Nothobranchius furzeri: one gene and its partner. The protein of the gene in region 2 purifies or fractionates together with the protein of the main gene of each other region. This does not show direct contact. Links are inferred from orthologs where the notes say so. Each region holds a gene or a part of one and is shown on either strand. Other genes may lie near its edges.

The links. The genes of interacting proteins can lie anywhere in the genome.
Region 1: the proteins of cbx5 (region 2) and adnpb purify together in Homo sapiens (affinity purification with mass spectrometry; 4 studies listed by BioGRID and IntAct, with this or other methods). This does not show direct contact. The link is inferred for Nothobranchius furzeri from reciprocal best matches to the Homo sapiens genes CBX5 and ADNP.

Annotation. Positions count from the first base shown.
Region 1 is NC_091755.1:48,126,379-48,134,153, reverse strand, and holds the start of adnpb (activity-dependent neuroprotector homeobox b), read left to right. Parts: upstream 1-2,555; 5' UTR 2,556-2,762; intron 2,763-7,739; exon of another isoform or gene 7,740-7,775. Other genes in the region: dpm1 (dolichol-phosphate mannosyltransferase subunit 1), read left to right, coding at 24-57, 132-208, 380-405, 551-646, 736-804, 894-1,008, 1,121-1,225.
Region 2 is NC_091755.1:25,770,029-25,777,803, forward strand, and holds cbx5 (chromobox protein homolog 5), read left to right. Parts: upstream 1-3,593; 5' UTR 3,594-3,731; intron 3,732-4,201; 5' UTR 4,202-4,253; coding exon 4,254-4,381; intron 4,382-4,597; coding exon 4,598-4,838; intron 4,839-5,846; coding exon 5,847-5,947; intron 5,948-6,689; coding exon 6,690-6,831; 3' UTR 6,832-7,302; downstream 7,303-7,775. Other genes in the region: heterogeneous nuclear ribonucleoprotein A1, read right to left, coding at 601-659, 733-876, 950-1,093, 1,168-1,227, 1,303-1,449, 1,531-1,741, 1,812-1,958, 2,042-2,158 and 1 more. UniProt on the Homo sapiens protein: Component of heterochromatin that recognizes and binds histone H3 tails methylated at 'Lys-9' (H3K9me), leading to epigenetic repression. In contrast, it is excluded from chromatin when 'Tyr-41' of histone H3 is phosphorylated (H3Y41ph).

The sequences.
Region 1 (7,775 bases), about 22 Mb from region 2:
GTTAAATCCTTCTAATTTTTCAGGTTCTGCGACCAAGGGAGAAAAAATTAGGCCTTGGTAAGTTGGTAAAATTATTGCATTTCCTTTATAAACATTACCAGTGGATGTAATCATCCCTTCATGTTTTAAAGGCACAGCCTACATCCATGGCATGAAGCATGCCACTGGGAACTTCATCATCATCATGGATGCAGATCTTTCCCATCACGTGAGTCGATGCACGAGTGTATTTGATGTATAAAATATCTTAGAAACAAGACATCTTTTGAGTATCTTGTCTGGAAAAACACAAATGGCTAGTAAAGTCCAATTGAGTATTTATTTATTTATTTATTTTGTTGCACTGCTGTGTATTTTATTCGTCTTTATTTTATTTCAGCCCAAGTTTATTCCTGAATTTATTGAGTAAGTATAATTGTTTTTTATGTTATGAGTTGGTGCGTTTATAAAGACTCGCAACATTTCTGATTATCAGGGTAACTTTCATCCATGTGTGACGAGTCGGATTATTCTAGCATGTTTTAGGTAAAGTATCGTATTTCATTCACAGAAAGCAGAAGGAAGGTGGTTATGACCTTGTGTCTGGTACTCGCTATCAGGGCAATGGAGGTGTCTACGGCTGGGACCTGCGCAGGAAACTCATCAGGTAACGGCCAGTGAGCAGAACTTGGTCACCAGTGTCCGCTCTCCTACGCTCGATGAAAACGAGATTTGTTTTTCTCTCCTGTGTCTTAGTCGAGGTGCTAACTTTTTGACTCAGGTTTTGTTGAGACCCGGCGCTTCGGACCTCACGGGCAGCTTCAGGTAACTGATGCAAGAGGTTTGAATCGTCATTGACTAGAAAACTGAACCGTTTCCTCACTTTTGTGCTTTTTTCCCTACGCTTTTGGAAGGTTATACAAGAAAAATGTGCTGGAGAGTCTGGTGGAGCGGTGTGTGTCTAAAGGTTACGTGTTCCAGATGGAGATGATCGTCCGAGCCAGACAGCTCAACTACACAATTGGAGAGGTGTTGACCTACCACGCTGTTGGGTTCTTTGAATATTTGTACTTTGTATGAGTTCTTCTCAACGTTTCCGCTGAAATTAAACTAAGGTTTATTTTCTCCTCGTCGTTCGCAGGTTCCTATTTCCTTTGTGGATCGGGTTTATGGAGAGTCAAAACTGGGAGGGAATGAGATCGTGTCATTTGTGAGAGGACTGCTCACACTCTTCGCCACGACGTGATCAGCGATGTTCAGAGCTTCTGGGAGCTTTTTTTTTTCCTCGTTCCACAAGTTTGTCTTTAAAACAGAAGTTTCACCAAATTAAAAACAAGAGAGAGACGTTCACCACTTTCTGTAATCATACGGTGACAGGACAACACAGGAGAAGGAAGGTGTTAGCAGTTAAAACTGTGGAAGATGTTCTTTTCTGTAGTTTTCAGAATGCTGAAGAAATGGTGATTCCCAAGTCTTGTCAATCCCATCGCAGAATGTTTCTGGAATTCTTTATTATTACAGTTTGCAAATGCATAAAAATAAACACGTTTTAATTGTAGACTCTTGTTTGTTTATTTTTAATTGATCCAATGGAAATTGTATGCGAATTTAAATGAACTCTTGACTTAAGAAACAGAAACCTGAGACTGATCACACCTGCCATATCCAAAAATTAGAAATTGACTCCATTTATATACTTGTAAGACTTTTAATGTCGGCATACATCAAATACCCAAAAATATCACGGACATGTCTGGATTATCCAGGAAGAAACACTTAAAGGATCTAAGATCTTTGGGAATCCACGTCTGCTATTAAAGGAAACATGCTAAAAGCTGTAGTTTAGAACATAATCTGGGTTTTTGTGTGAGAAGATGTCTGTATTTTTCATTTAATTGGAAACAAACCCTAGACACTTGTATTAAAACATTTTAGAAGAAAAAGTTCATCAGTAACCATCAAATAAGAGGTTTTATAATAACTAGAAATGCAGAGTCCGGTCCCACCTTACAGGAAAGTAGTCCCGGCTGAATGGATGGAGGTATCACAGCGCCACCTAGTGTTGGCCCGGCCTCCAGCTGCGTGCTGAGGCACTGTGCACATCCGAGCCTCCGCAGGGGAGGAGCTACCAGGACGCCCGCTACCGGACCGTAAACGTAACTGCTGCGCCTGGTTGTTTACCCCCGCAGAGAGAGACAGGAAATCAATACCGTCCACAAACTTTAAGACAACGGAGGCATTTATTATTTTAAGCAGATGTTTGCCTAAATGTTCGAACTGATTGGCAAACCAATCATGAGAGCGAGGACCTGGTCTTATTATTTATGCTAATGAGGAATATGTCACTTCCGCTTCTTTGATTTGCGCCATTTTGGATAGGGCAGCTGGTTGGCTGGATGTGTATTGTCTGTCGGGAGAGAACGGGTAAAAAGGAACCCGCTGTTAGAGAATTACGATCAGAGTTGAATTAATTAATTCACCAGAGTGTAAAGTACGTCGGTAGTTGACATGTGTCTACCTTCACCGCTCCAGGAAACGGAGGTTTTAATCGCCCGCCGAAGCTCTCTCTTTCCGTTCTCCGACCACGGGAAAGCGGATAGCCCTCGTCGCTGAGGGGCTGTCGGGCTGGGAAGGTAGACCGACGGCCCGGGTGACTTCTCCCCCACAAAGCACCTGGGAGGGAATTACCGACATATCCGTGCAAGCGGGAGCGTGAATACTCGACCTCGGTCATCCTGAGGTGACACATTTAATTCAGACGGGAGCACTGGATGTAAAAGCAGGTAAACCTGGATGTCCTAATGCCGGGGAGAGTCCACAGATGGTGGCCGCTTGCCGCTGCCTACCTGCGGGACGGGATGGGTGGTGGTGGCTAGTGTTAGTGTGTCGGGGTGGTAAACAAGTTTCATTCTTAAATTAAACGCATCGTGATGTTATTGAAGAACCAAGAGAAAATGCGACAGCTTTCGTTTCAACCCATGTTGTTGGGTGTTAGCTTAGCATGTTAGCTCAGCGCGGCACCACCATCCCTCCTTTGTCAGTTGCAGCAGCTTTTTGCTTTTAACTATCTGGATTCTGTCAGCTGTCTTGGATATTTAACTCATCACGAACACCACGGATGGTCCACAGTTTGTTCTGTTCGTTGCTACAGCGACCGATCTGTCCTGTGGTTATTATGGGATTGTAGGAGAGTGACCACATTAGTGTAAACAGTTTGGTTTTGAACCCGATTGTGAGGAAGTGTTTATGAGGGAGTCCTGGTTGTCTGTGATTAGACAGGTGAGTTCAGGTGTGTGCCTCTAAAGGGGAGCAGTGCTGCCATGGTCACCCTCAGACATCCTGTCACCTTTAATACCGTTTACAGGTGTTGAGCCGTGTGGTGAAACCTCATCAGAGGCATTTAAGACTATTATTCTTCTATTAAAGCGAACATGGATGTCACAAGAAGTGTGACCTCTTAGTAAACGTGGAGGAATGGTAAACATGAGGGTTGAGAACATTGGTTATCACATCCTGTTGGATTATTCGGCAGCATTTAAAGATTTCAAGGCCTCTTTTCTTTCTCTTTAGCACCACTGCAGAATGGGAAACATGTTCTCTGCCAGCAGCCATCGCCACAGCAGAGCAGCCTCTTCCTGCATTTCCTCCCAGTCCTCTTCCTTCTCTCCCTCCTTTCCCTCCTACTCAGCCTCTCCCTGGCTATCTATTCTCCCCTCCCCTGCTCTGCATCGCCCTCTCTTTCTCTCACCCTCTTCCATTTTCTGTCCCTCCAGCCTCCCAGTCCTCCCTTCCCCTCTCCTCTCTGTGTGCCTGACCTCCCTGCCTCCCCCCCCCTCCCCTTACCTCCCTGGCTCACCCCCCCCCCCCCATCTCTCCCCTTGCACTCCTTCTACACTTACCCGCTCACTCCCCCTTCTCTTCCTCCATGCACACTCCCCCCCCCATGATTTCTTTCTCTCACTCCTTCTCTCCCTCCTCTTCCTCTCCCTTCCAACATCACTCTCTCCTCCACTCCCCTCCCCCTCTGCTGCAGACATATTGTAGGGGCTGCTGCTTACTCAATAGGAGGCGCCATTCTGTGATGGTGTTGCAAGGCTGGGAGAAAAGGGGCCAGGCAGAACGTAGGGAGGCTTACATAATGGGAGTCCTCTGCTGCACCATCTACAAGAAAGGGAGGGAAGCAGGAGAAAGGCAGGTAGGGGAGAGGTGGGTCGTTGACTTTTAGGATGCAGGTGGGTCAGCCAGGCAGGTGATGGACCCACAAAAGCATCTATATCTCATTTCCTCAGATTCCTCAAGGGGTAACGAGCTGAGATGTTAACAGGAATTGTTGGAAATGTAGATTGTTGTCCTAGTGTACCAGTGACCTTTGACCTTCCTGCATGAAGCTTTGATTTGAACAGAGCTTGTTTCTTGAGCAATAGAACTAAAACATTTAGCTGAGTCTGGCAAATTTAACAATCTCATTTATACAGATGTTAAAGCATCCTAGAGTTGATCTTGTTGAACATTGGGAGCTAGGGGGATCGGATGCACCATTCCTAAAGTCTGTGCCGTCTCCGACCTGCTTTTTATGTAACGATCAATAGTCATAGACAAACCAACTGAAACTTGCATGTCCCAACCCACCTCAACGTCAGCAGTTTACAAATGTTGGTAGTTAGAATGCTAACCACACAACAACACTAGCCCGAACTACTGCTAACATCCTTGTTGAACGTGAGGAAGACATCCAGGCGTAACGTTCTAGGGTGGACTGGGGTTATCCAGACTACCCCTGAATGCTTATAGAATTATCCATATGATGTAGCATCATTGAGACATCAAGGTCAACTGACCAATCAGTGCTCTGCTTGGTCTTCCTGTTGTAGGGCTTCATTAAGGGGGTGTGGCTGGTCATTTATCAGGGCTCTTGGGTCATTGTGAGCCCCAACAAAGTTTCATTTAAAATGGTTTGTTTGGCTGTTGGCCTGTTCCAGCAGAACTCATAAAAGACGTTGATTCCATTGATTGGATCAGCTGTTGTTGGACTTGAACTTTCTGGTCCGTACCAATTTTTTTTTCTCTTAGTAGGAACAAAAGTCAGTCATCACGGTTGAGATTTAATGTACAACAAATACTTTACATTAGGGCTGCACGATATTAGGAAAACCTGCGATATTCGATAACCGTGCTTAATATTGCGATATCGATATTACTCACGATAAATGAACAAATACTAAAGTATGCAGTGCTGATGTCGTCTGGCGTGTGACGTCTGCTCTGGGTTCAAAGCAAACAAAAACTAATGCATGAATTCCATTACAACATAACATTTTTATTGCAAAACTATGCAGCTGCACCTGCTGCTGTATTAGCAGCTGCACCCGCTACTGTATTAGCAGCTGCACCCGCTACTGTATTAGCAGCTGCACCTGCTACTGTATTAGCAGCTGCAGCTGCTACTGTATTAGCAGCTGCACCCGCTACTGTATTAGCAGCTGCACCCGCTACTGTATTAGCAGCTGCACCCGCTACTGTATTAGCAGCTGCACCCGCTACTGTATTAGCAGCTGCACCCGCTACTGTATTAGCAGCTGCACCCGCTACTGTATTAGCAGCTGCACCAGCTACTGTATTAGCAGCTGCACCCGCTACTGTATTAGCAGCTGCACCCGCTACTGTATTAGCAGCTGCACCCGCTACTGTATTAGCAGCTGCACCAGCTACTGTATTAGCAGCTGCACCCGCTACTGTATTAGCAGCTGCACCCGCTACTGTATTAGCAGCTGCACCAGCTACTGTATTAGCAGCTGCACCCGCTACTGTATTAGCAGCTGCACCTGCTACTGTATTAGCAGCTGCACCCGCTACTGTATAAGCAGCTGCACCCGCTACTGTATTAGCAGCTGCACCCGCTACTGTATTAGCAGCTGCACCCGCTACTGTATAAGCAGCTGCACCCGCTACTGTATAAGCAGCTGCACCCGCTACTGTATTAGCAGCTGCACCCGCTACTGTATTAGCAGCTGCACCCGCTACTGTATTAGCAGCTGCACCAGCTACTGTATTAGCAGCAAAACAACAAACTGCATGCATGCAGTTTCTCAGTGACTTTAAAACATCACCTCCACTATAAAACTTTTTCTGATGCTCCAAATACAGAAAAACGTTCCTTACCAGGGTTTTTGGAATAAATAAAGATATTAGAAAATAAGTTTAAATGTTAAATAATAGTTAACATCACTTAAATGCAACAGCAAATTCTCTCATTGCTACTGAGCATTTTCTCCACTTATGTGGTTATGATATAAGGCTGTTGCTGTAATTGGGAAGTGAACTGTGCTGGGCCAAACTAGGAGAATATTAAGATTTTCTGAGGGAAAGAGAAAAACAATTGTCTACCTTTCAGAAGAGGAACTGGCAAGAATCTACATGGAAAATATTTGAAAACGTTTGTTTTTAACCCCAAATTGAACAAGTTTACCTAGATCTTAAAAAGCAGTGAAGTGTAGCGCCAGTGCCCTATACACTGGCACTACCTGGTAGCTGTTGCGGGTGGTCTTTACGTGTGCTTTAAGCTAAAAGCAGCCCTGATGATGAAACTGCAACTATGATTCTGATAACAAGCTAACAAACTGAGCTAGCTCCTCTAAGATAACCGGCTAGCAGAGCTTCTGACTGACAGTTTATGTGCAGCAGCAAATCAACTATCCTGATTAACAAGGTTATAAAAGCTCATAAATGAAAAATCACTTTGATGTGTGGGGGAACTTTTCCAGGCCCTCTTTAGCAGGGTGGGACTGGGAGGAGAGTGCTGTAGCCTTTTAGCTGGAAGCTAACCGGAGCCTGGGGCTAACATCACCACCCGGTGGAACACTAGCGACGTGAAGGTGGGTTGGTTCACCGGCACGTGTCGGAGTCAGCCCGGTTATTATCAGCTGCTTAACGACACCGAGCGAACTCACGTTCACGTTTGAAAGCAGCGCTGATTCCAGAAACCTCAGCACAAAGTGCGTTTGTTAATCTGAGCCAGCATGACGAACAAGGGAACGGCGCCTCTAACTCAGTTCGGGTGTTGCTTTCCATCCTAAGGTCTACGTAGGGGGTGGGCGTATTACGTAAACGGACCTATCTGATTGGCCGCATATCAGAAGGGCTCCATTTGATTGGTCAAATAATAATTCAGCGTAAAAAAACAGAGCTGGTTTACAAAAAGGTGATGTATGACACGGATGGAAATGTTGAACCAAACATTTATCGCCATTTTTGACGTGCTTTGCGATGGGCCTATCGCACGTCCTGTTATTCCGATGACGATAATTTTTCGATATTTGTGCAGCCCTACTGAACATGTTGTACTTTTGAGAATGTCTCTGCTCCCTCTAGTCAGTCTGTGAAGTTGTTGGCATTATTAGATTTTTTTATCCAAATGAAATCTAAATCTGTTGGGCAAACGCTGTTTCTAAGTGCACATGTCTCGGCTAGAGAGGTCCGGTGGTGGAGATGGAGAAGTGTGCCGTCCAGGTAGGATGTGGGGCACGGTGCAAAAGCTTGGTCAGGGGAAAGCCCGTGTTTTGTTTTCAACTGGTTGGAAATGATGGATAAAGCTGCTGACACCACTGGTTTGGCATTTATCAATACTGATTGTTTTTCATTGTAGTGACGGTGGCGTGTAAGGCCACACACGGGTCAGCAGAAAATAGTGGACCAGCAGCAGTTATGGGATGCTGAGAGTTCAGAGCGGCATTAATAAGCTGTGGTTTTTCTGTTTTCACAAAGCAACGCTTCTATTTAATCAAAGTTTTTTTTACCAA
Region 2 (7,775 bases):
GAGCCCCACTTCTCATCTCTTCAAGTTTGGACATTTGAAATTTTATATATAAACACCTCACATGTTAATACTGAACCCCAAACAGCTAACAATCAACCCAAATCACTAAAGAGTCTAACAAGACTTAAAAAAACTGAAAGGTGGTTTATTTCAGATTGAATTGATGCAGGTACAAATAAAAACCAGACATAAAAGATAAACATAAAACCCTTAATGGAATGCTTGCTTTCCAGAAAAGATAACATCAAGAAAAAAACAATAGTACAAAGTTTAAATGAAGGCCCTCCATGATTTATCTACTGTACATCTCTTCTCGTAGCAGCTGTAACCTGCCACAACTGTTTGGCTGAGCAGATTTAGGAGGTAAACCTGCAGCTGCCCTGTCACTTCGCTTGCTCTCCTCTCCTTGCTCTGCTCTCCTCTCCTAAGTACTCAGTCCTGTTGAACAATATGGAACAACATTGTTAACTGTGCACTGACTTTAAGGCCTGACATCCAAAGTGAATTTGTCAGTTTAGCTGTATCTCAGTGATTGCCTGTAACGACAAACTGGTTTTGCAACACTATGAGACCATGTTTAGATGCTCACCCCTTCTCATTTCAAAATCGCCCTGGGCGGCCATAGCCTCCAGGATTGTTTGAGCCACCACCATAGCCACCTGAGAAAGGGGGAAATTAATTTGCATCAAAACAGACAAGCGAGTAGCAACCATATTGATCTCAAATACTCACCTCCACCAAAGTTCCTGCCGCCGCCGCCACCACCGCCGCCACCGAAGTTATTCTTCATCGGCCCAAAGTTAGAGGCCTGGGGGTCGTAGTGGCCCATGTTGTTGTAGTTGTTACCACCTCCACCCCCGCCGCCACCACAATTACCTTAAAGGTTATTTTCTGTTATATTGTGATGCTGGGCAGAAATAAACATGGTTTTTACCAAGAGAATTCTTACCGTAACCATTGTTGTCATAACCATTTCCTCCATATCCACCGCCACCGCCTCCTCCTCCACCACCTTGGTTGTAGCCACCCTGATTATAACCACGGTTTCCACCTTGGTTGTAGCCTCCAGGACTGCCAGGACCACCGCCATAACCTGAAATATAAAAAAACATTAGTACTCTAACAAATCATTCAAAACCCACTTTAAATAACTAAAAAGGTGTATACCTCCTCCATCACCCCCATTGCAATTGTACGGACCATCGCCATATCGACCACCCCTGCCACCTTATGAGGGGAAATCAGGATTTAAAAACTCACCCTATTACACTACAGGTGTTGGTGTTCACCATCACACCCTACCTTGGTTGAAGCCTCTGTCGTAATCATATGGCCTTCCCCCGGTGTTACGGCCTCCTCTCGATCCCATGCCCACACTTTGCATTTCCTGCTTGGTGAGGGCCTTCCTCACTTCACAGTTGTGCGAGTTGATTGTGTGGTATTTCTGGACTGTTAATTGGGAGGGACGGCAACATTTTAACCACACATAGCACTGCAGGTGAAAGCTTGCAAGATAAACATTTTACTTACTGACAATCCTGTCAACTGAATCATGGTCATCAAAGCTGACAAAGGCGAAGCCTCTCTTCTTTCCAGTGTTACGGTCAGTCATGATGTCAATGACCTCAATTTTGCCAAACTGCTGGAAGTAATCCCTCAAATGAGATTCTTCTGTGTCTTCTTTTATGCCTCCAACAAAGATTTTCTTCACAGTTATGTGAGCGCCTGGGCGGTTGGAGTCCTGCAAACAACAAGAGCGCTTAATCCCATTCGTGCATCATAAATCAATCTGGATAAGCTGGCTCACATACCTCTCTGGAAACAGCTCGCTTAGGCTCCACCACTCTTCCATCCACCTTGTGTGGACGAGCGGACATGGAGGCATCGACCTCCTGCACTGACGAGTAGGTGACGAAGCCAAACCCCCTGGATCTCTTGCTGTTTGGGTCTCTCATAACCTAAAGGCAGAAACGCATCACAGCTTTAAGCAACCAACCAAACGTTACATTACATTTAAAAAGAGACATAAAGGTATGCGTACCACGCAATCTGTAAGGCTGCCCCATTGTTCAAAATGAGCCCGTAGGCTCTCGTCTGTTGTCTCGAAGCTCAGGCCTCCGATGAACAGCTTGCGGAGCTGCTCCGGCTCACGTGGAACCTGCACAAAAATATTTGCGTCATAGGAGAAGCAATGCACAATATAGTTCCGCATAATAATATTGTCGGTGGACCATTTATATCAAACTCTGCGTCTTTGATCAAAAATCAGGGATAGGGTGGAGAAGGCGCACCGCCGCCATTACAGTTTAGGAACCGCTCAGACTAAAGTCAAAGAACTCCTTCTTTCAAAGAGCCAACACACAATTAATATGTACTCACTGTCGTTTAATGTGTTAGGGATATAATCGTTTAAGACTGGTGTTGAAGAGAAGCCACTGATGTCCTTTACAGATCATCATCAGAACAAAAGGCCACGAGGCTCAGCTTCTATAAAATGGCGGCTTCAAGAAAGCTCTGCAGCTACGGCACACAGTCCGTCGACAACACCAAGTATGGCCAACCTATAATAAAACTACCCAAAACCAAACTATTAATCTTACGGCCTGATATCCTTTGATAAGTTTAGCACTCACCTCTTTAGACATTTTGCCGCTTTATCCTTGACGACTCCTTGAGAACCGACCGCAGAGGAACTAGCTGCGTCAGACAAGACCAGCGACAGGGTGAACGTACAAGAAATAGGAACGGAAACGCCTCTTCCCCTCAGCGATTGGTCTGTAGTTCCCGCGGTACTGTGTCGTCAATCAGAACTGTATTTTGATTGGTCTAAATTTTGTCAATCAATGCGAACAACCATTCACTGCGTAGTAGGCATTCGCCTTTGTCGACCATGAAGAAAAATGGCCGACCTAAATTACATAAAGCCAAAAATGAATGTGCCTTCATCTATAAACAAATTATCTGAATTGACAGAGAAATTGAATGCTCACATTTAAAAGGTGCTGAAAAAACGACTTATTAACTTTTTTCTACGAAACGAGCCTAAGAAAGACAATAAACAATATAAAAGATAGACAAATTGCCGTCTGGCTAAACAACACGGGAAATATCATTCGCATGTTGGTACACAAGATGTCCCGTAATCAAACAAACCGATGCAAAATGTACAACTCTTGAAGAGTTTATGCTAAAGTATAATTTAAAATGAGCCAAATTAGTTAATCTGGGCTTTGTGTGTGGTGACTAAAGGGGGAAAATAACATGAACATAGAGAAATAAATAAATGCAGCAAGATTTAAACGAAAAATATATGAAAACATAAATTACTACAACAAAGTAGACGTATATATATTAATTTCTTTATTTTCAGTCAAATAATTGTAACCCTTTATGCTGTGTTTTTTTTTATTTTGTATTATCGTGTATACTTATTTTGTAAATTATTGTGACTGCAAGTTACTACAATTTTATAAACCGAACGTTAACGTTATAGAAAAGTTAAAATTTAGTAGGAAGGAACGTGTTTTCTAAACATTTATTATGTCACCAGCAGACTGGGGGCGGGTATGTTCATTGTGCGTTTTTAACGCGCGCTTTTTGCGCACGGCACCTTTATGTGCTACAGGCTAGATGCTAACGCTGGTGCTGCATTAGCTGCACTGCTGCCTCTAGATAAACGGAGCAGTCCCTGCGACCAGCGGCCTACATCCAGTGGGTTATACACTCCGAGGGTAAGAAACTGCGTTTTTGTAAATGTGCTTTACGCTGTTGCAAGTATCGGGTAGTTGTTTGATAAGTAAATTAGCGAGTATAGCATAGCTTTAGCACGTAAGCTAGCTCCTTTGGCTAGTTTGGGGTTAGTTAGCAGGACAAATCCCTTGGTCTTCATTGAACTGTGTGCTTTGTTCGTTTTCTGTGAGTGCAGTCTGGTCGCATATAACTATTTCAAACGGGCATATGTCGAGAAATGCACATGTATGGCCATTATATTAGCAGTTTTCCCATGCTTATCGTTCTGCTAGTGGGAAGAACGAGATTAAATGAAGATATTCATTGATGCACGGTAACCACGTTGTGTGGCTAACGCTCATGGTTGCAAACCTGCAGCTTGAGCTTAAATTTATGTGTTTACATGTGGACGAGCGCTGAGAAAAAATGGCATGTTTTGTGAGATGCTTGTTTGTGATTTCGTCGTGAACAGGAAAGTGCCATCGAACTCTAAAAGAGTGTAGTGTGAAGCACCCAACTCCGAGATGGGCAAAAAGTCACGTGAAGAGGAGTCCTCATCTGATGAAGAAGAGTATGTTGTGGAGAAGGTGCTGGACAGGAGGGTGGTGAAAGGCAGGGTGGAGTTCTTCCTTAAGTGGAAAGGATACTCTGAGTAAGTACCAAGTACCTGTTTACTGGTCAGTGACTTGATATTCCCGTTTTACACACACACACACACACACACACACACACACACACACACACACACACACACACACACACACACACACAGCACAAAAAGCATCAGTGAAGCTGGTTTGAGCACACAATATTACCCTTTTAAAAATGAACGTGACATTTCAATGACTTGTGCTGTGATTTTCTGCAGCAAGCACAACACATGGGAGCCAGAGAAGAATCTAGACTGCCCTGAGCTTATTTCAGAGTTCATGAAGACCTATAAGAAAAGCAGCAGCAGCGGTGGTAGTTCGACACCTAGCAGCGGGGCCAGTAAATCAAGCACAGGCTCATCTGGACGCACTAAAGATCCCAGCAGCTTAAAAAAGAAGGGCTCTGATGAAGAGGAGGAAGAAGAGGAAGGAGGAAGTAAGCCAAAGAAGAAGAAAGAGGTAAATTATCTTCATTATAGGTGAATTTCATTGACTACGTTTACATGCAGCCAATATCCGGGTTATGATCGGGTTAAGGTCGGTATTCGGGTTTCTGAGTTGATCAGAATAACCCGTTTACAAGCCCGTTTACAATAAATAGAAAGAGTTACCCCTAACTTGCATAACCCGATTTAAATGCGGACGGTGGGGTAGCGTCAAGACATATGGACTACGTCCAGACGCAATATGCCTCATTTCCGGTTCTTCTTGTTCCGGTATCCGTGAAAACAACAACACGTTTCCCAGTTCGGAAGAGACGGCGACCGCGTTTGTTTGTGCTTTAGTTTCTTCGTCACTGCGAAAGTGTGGTGCTGTGCCGCGACTCGCCATGTTGCTCCCAACTTGTTGTTTACTTCCGGTGTTCTGGCGCATACAAGACGTCTCGCTACTCAAAAGACCAAGATTCCTTGCGAACAGAGCATGTGCAGAACACACGCTTTGATGGGGATATCCCGGTATGCGTTTACACGACCAAACATTCGGGTTAGAAAAGGGTTACGCCAGGTGTAGTAACCGGGTTTTTAAAAACCCGGTTATGAGCATATCCAGGTTTTTGGCGGTGTTTACAAGGACCTGCGGAACCGGGTTATTGTGAATATTCGGGTTTTAAAAGGGTTACTGGCTGCATGTAAACGCACTCATTCTGATATGAATCATTTGTATGCGTGGGAGCATTTGTACTTAGCTCTTCTGAACTGATTTCTGTAAAGACTGTTTATATTTTAGCTAAATGTTGTAAAATGTATAATTTTGAGATGAAAATGATAAATTGTTTTTTTGAATTACCAATAATGCATTAACTTATGGGCAGGTGATGGGCAACACCTATACTTATTAAATAATATAAGTTATATCTAGATTTGACCTGTGTTTAGAATTGCTGAATTTATGGCCAATGAAATAGCCCTTTGGCAAATATTCAGCTGGCATTTTTAATTTTTTATTTTTTATTTTTTTACATTTCAGGATGAGATCCTAGTTGCACGTGGCTTTGAGAGGGGCCTAGAGCCAGAGAAGATCATTGGGGCAACCGACTCGTGTGGAGACCTCATGTTTCTAATGAAGTGGTAAGTTTTACTGGTAGACTCATTTTGGGAGATCTTCATTCTGTTATAATGACAATGCACTTACTTTTATGCACTTTGGTAATCATAATGCACCCATTTCGTAGTAAAACAAAATTTTCCTCAGACATAAACATTAGAAGCTAACCTAGCACAGGGGGGACTAACAGGCCTTTGTAGAGCTTGGTGACCTGCTGAACAGGTAATTCAACCATTCAGGTGTATTGCAGCAGTGAGATGACTAAAACATGCTGGGTATGGGGATCTCAGACACACTTGATCTAAGAGGACTACTATTCATTCTCGTATGACAAAGAAATATGCTTAAGTATTATAAAGTACTTACATTTTCAACTATTAAATGTCTAAAACAGAACTGGTTAAACGGTGCAGAATTGTTGCACCAGAGCACAGCACGATGTCCTATCATGAGCTTAAATGTCTAACAACCTGAATCTTTAACACCACATTACTACTGGCAAATCATTCATTAGCTAATCGCTGTTCCGTCATAAACAGTAAGCCACATCATAAAACTTTATGCTATTGCATATTAGCTAAATTTATACATGCAGTAAATTGTCCCTAAGCAGAAGTGATGGTTGTAGATTTTGGAAATTTTGTTTTGAAATGGGAAATTTGGTTGAAATAATTTGGAAAAGTGAAGGACAATAAGGACAAACTAACAATCCCTAACAATGCGTGGATTCCTTAAGTTCTCTTGCTGTTCTGGTTTCTCGTACAGGAAAGACTCTGATGAGGCAGATCTTGTTCTCGCCAAGGAGGCCAATCATAAGTGCCCACAAATCGTCATAGCCTTCTACGAGGAGCGTCTCACCTGGCACGAAGACGGCGACAAGAAGGAGAAGGATGCTGTTAGCGCGTGAGTGTATCACCTCGGGAGGAATCCTCCACTGCAGGGACTACCTTAAGTCAGACATTTTTTTCCTCCATATCCAAAACTTTCATGTACCACGTCCAAAGGCAACACAATGACAGGCGATGCATCTTTCTCTTGTCCTCCCCTCCTTCCTCCATCCACGTCCCACTGGAGCACAATGACCCGGGCTGCTGAGAGGGGGCCGTCGGGCTGGAGGAGAAGATGTAGTGGGTGTGGGTGAAATGCTACTTGGGGAACTTTCTACTGTATTGTCTTTGTATTCATTACCTTTTTTTAATATCGATGTATGTTTTAGTGCTTACAGGATGTGATTCTATCAGTGAGGAGTGCAGTGTTATGATCAGGTGGGATTGAGTTGGAGTATTGACATTATGGAAGTAACCATCTCTGCACTTTCCTGTCTGTTTAATCATGTCCTTTTTAAACTTTTTATCTTTGTAGATTTTTTTTTTTTTTTTACCAAAATACAACGTTTAAATTTGAACAATCTTTGCTTGGTGATTCGCTTGCTAGAATTTTTTTATTTGCCGTTTTATTTTGTTGCTGCCTAGTGGTAACAAAGTAAAACCGCATAGACCGTGACCAAAACAGATGACAGCCTCTGAGGTGTGTGTGTGTGTGTTTGTGTTAATCAACTTAAGTATTTTTTTAGACATTTTTATTTCTCTAAAATCCTCCCTACACAAAAAAAAAAAACAACAACATTTTACCCTTTTCAAATGTGAGATAGCGGTCAATTTCAATAACTTTTTAGTTTTGTTTTTCTGGGTAATTTTAACATTTTGGACCAAATAGTTGGTGTATTCAGATGTTTTTCCTGGTTTAGTAAAACCTTAGTGACTTGCTCCTTTTTTATACATTTTATTCATATGACCAGTTTTTAATGTTAATTTGCCAAGTCGGTTGGGTTCTTCCATTAAAATGGTTTTG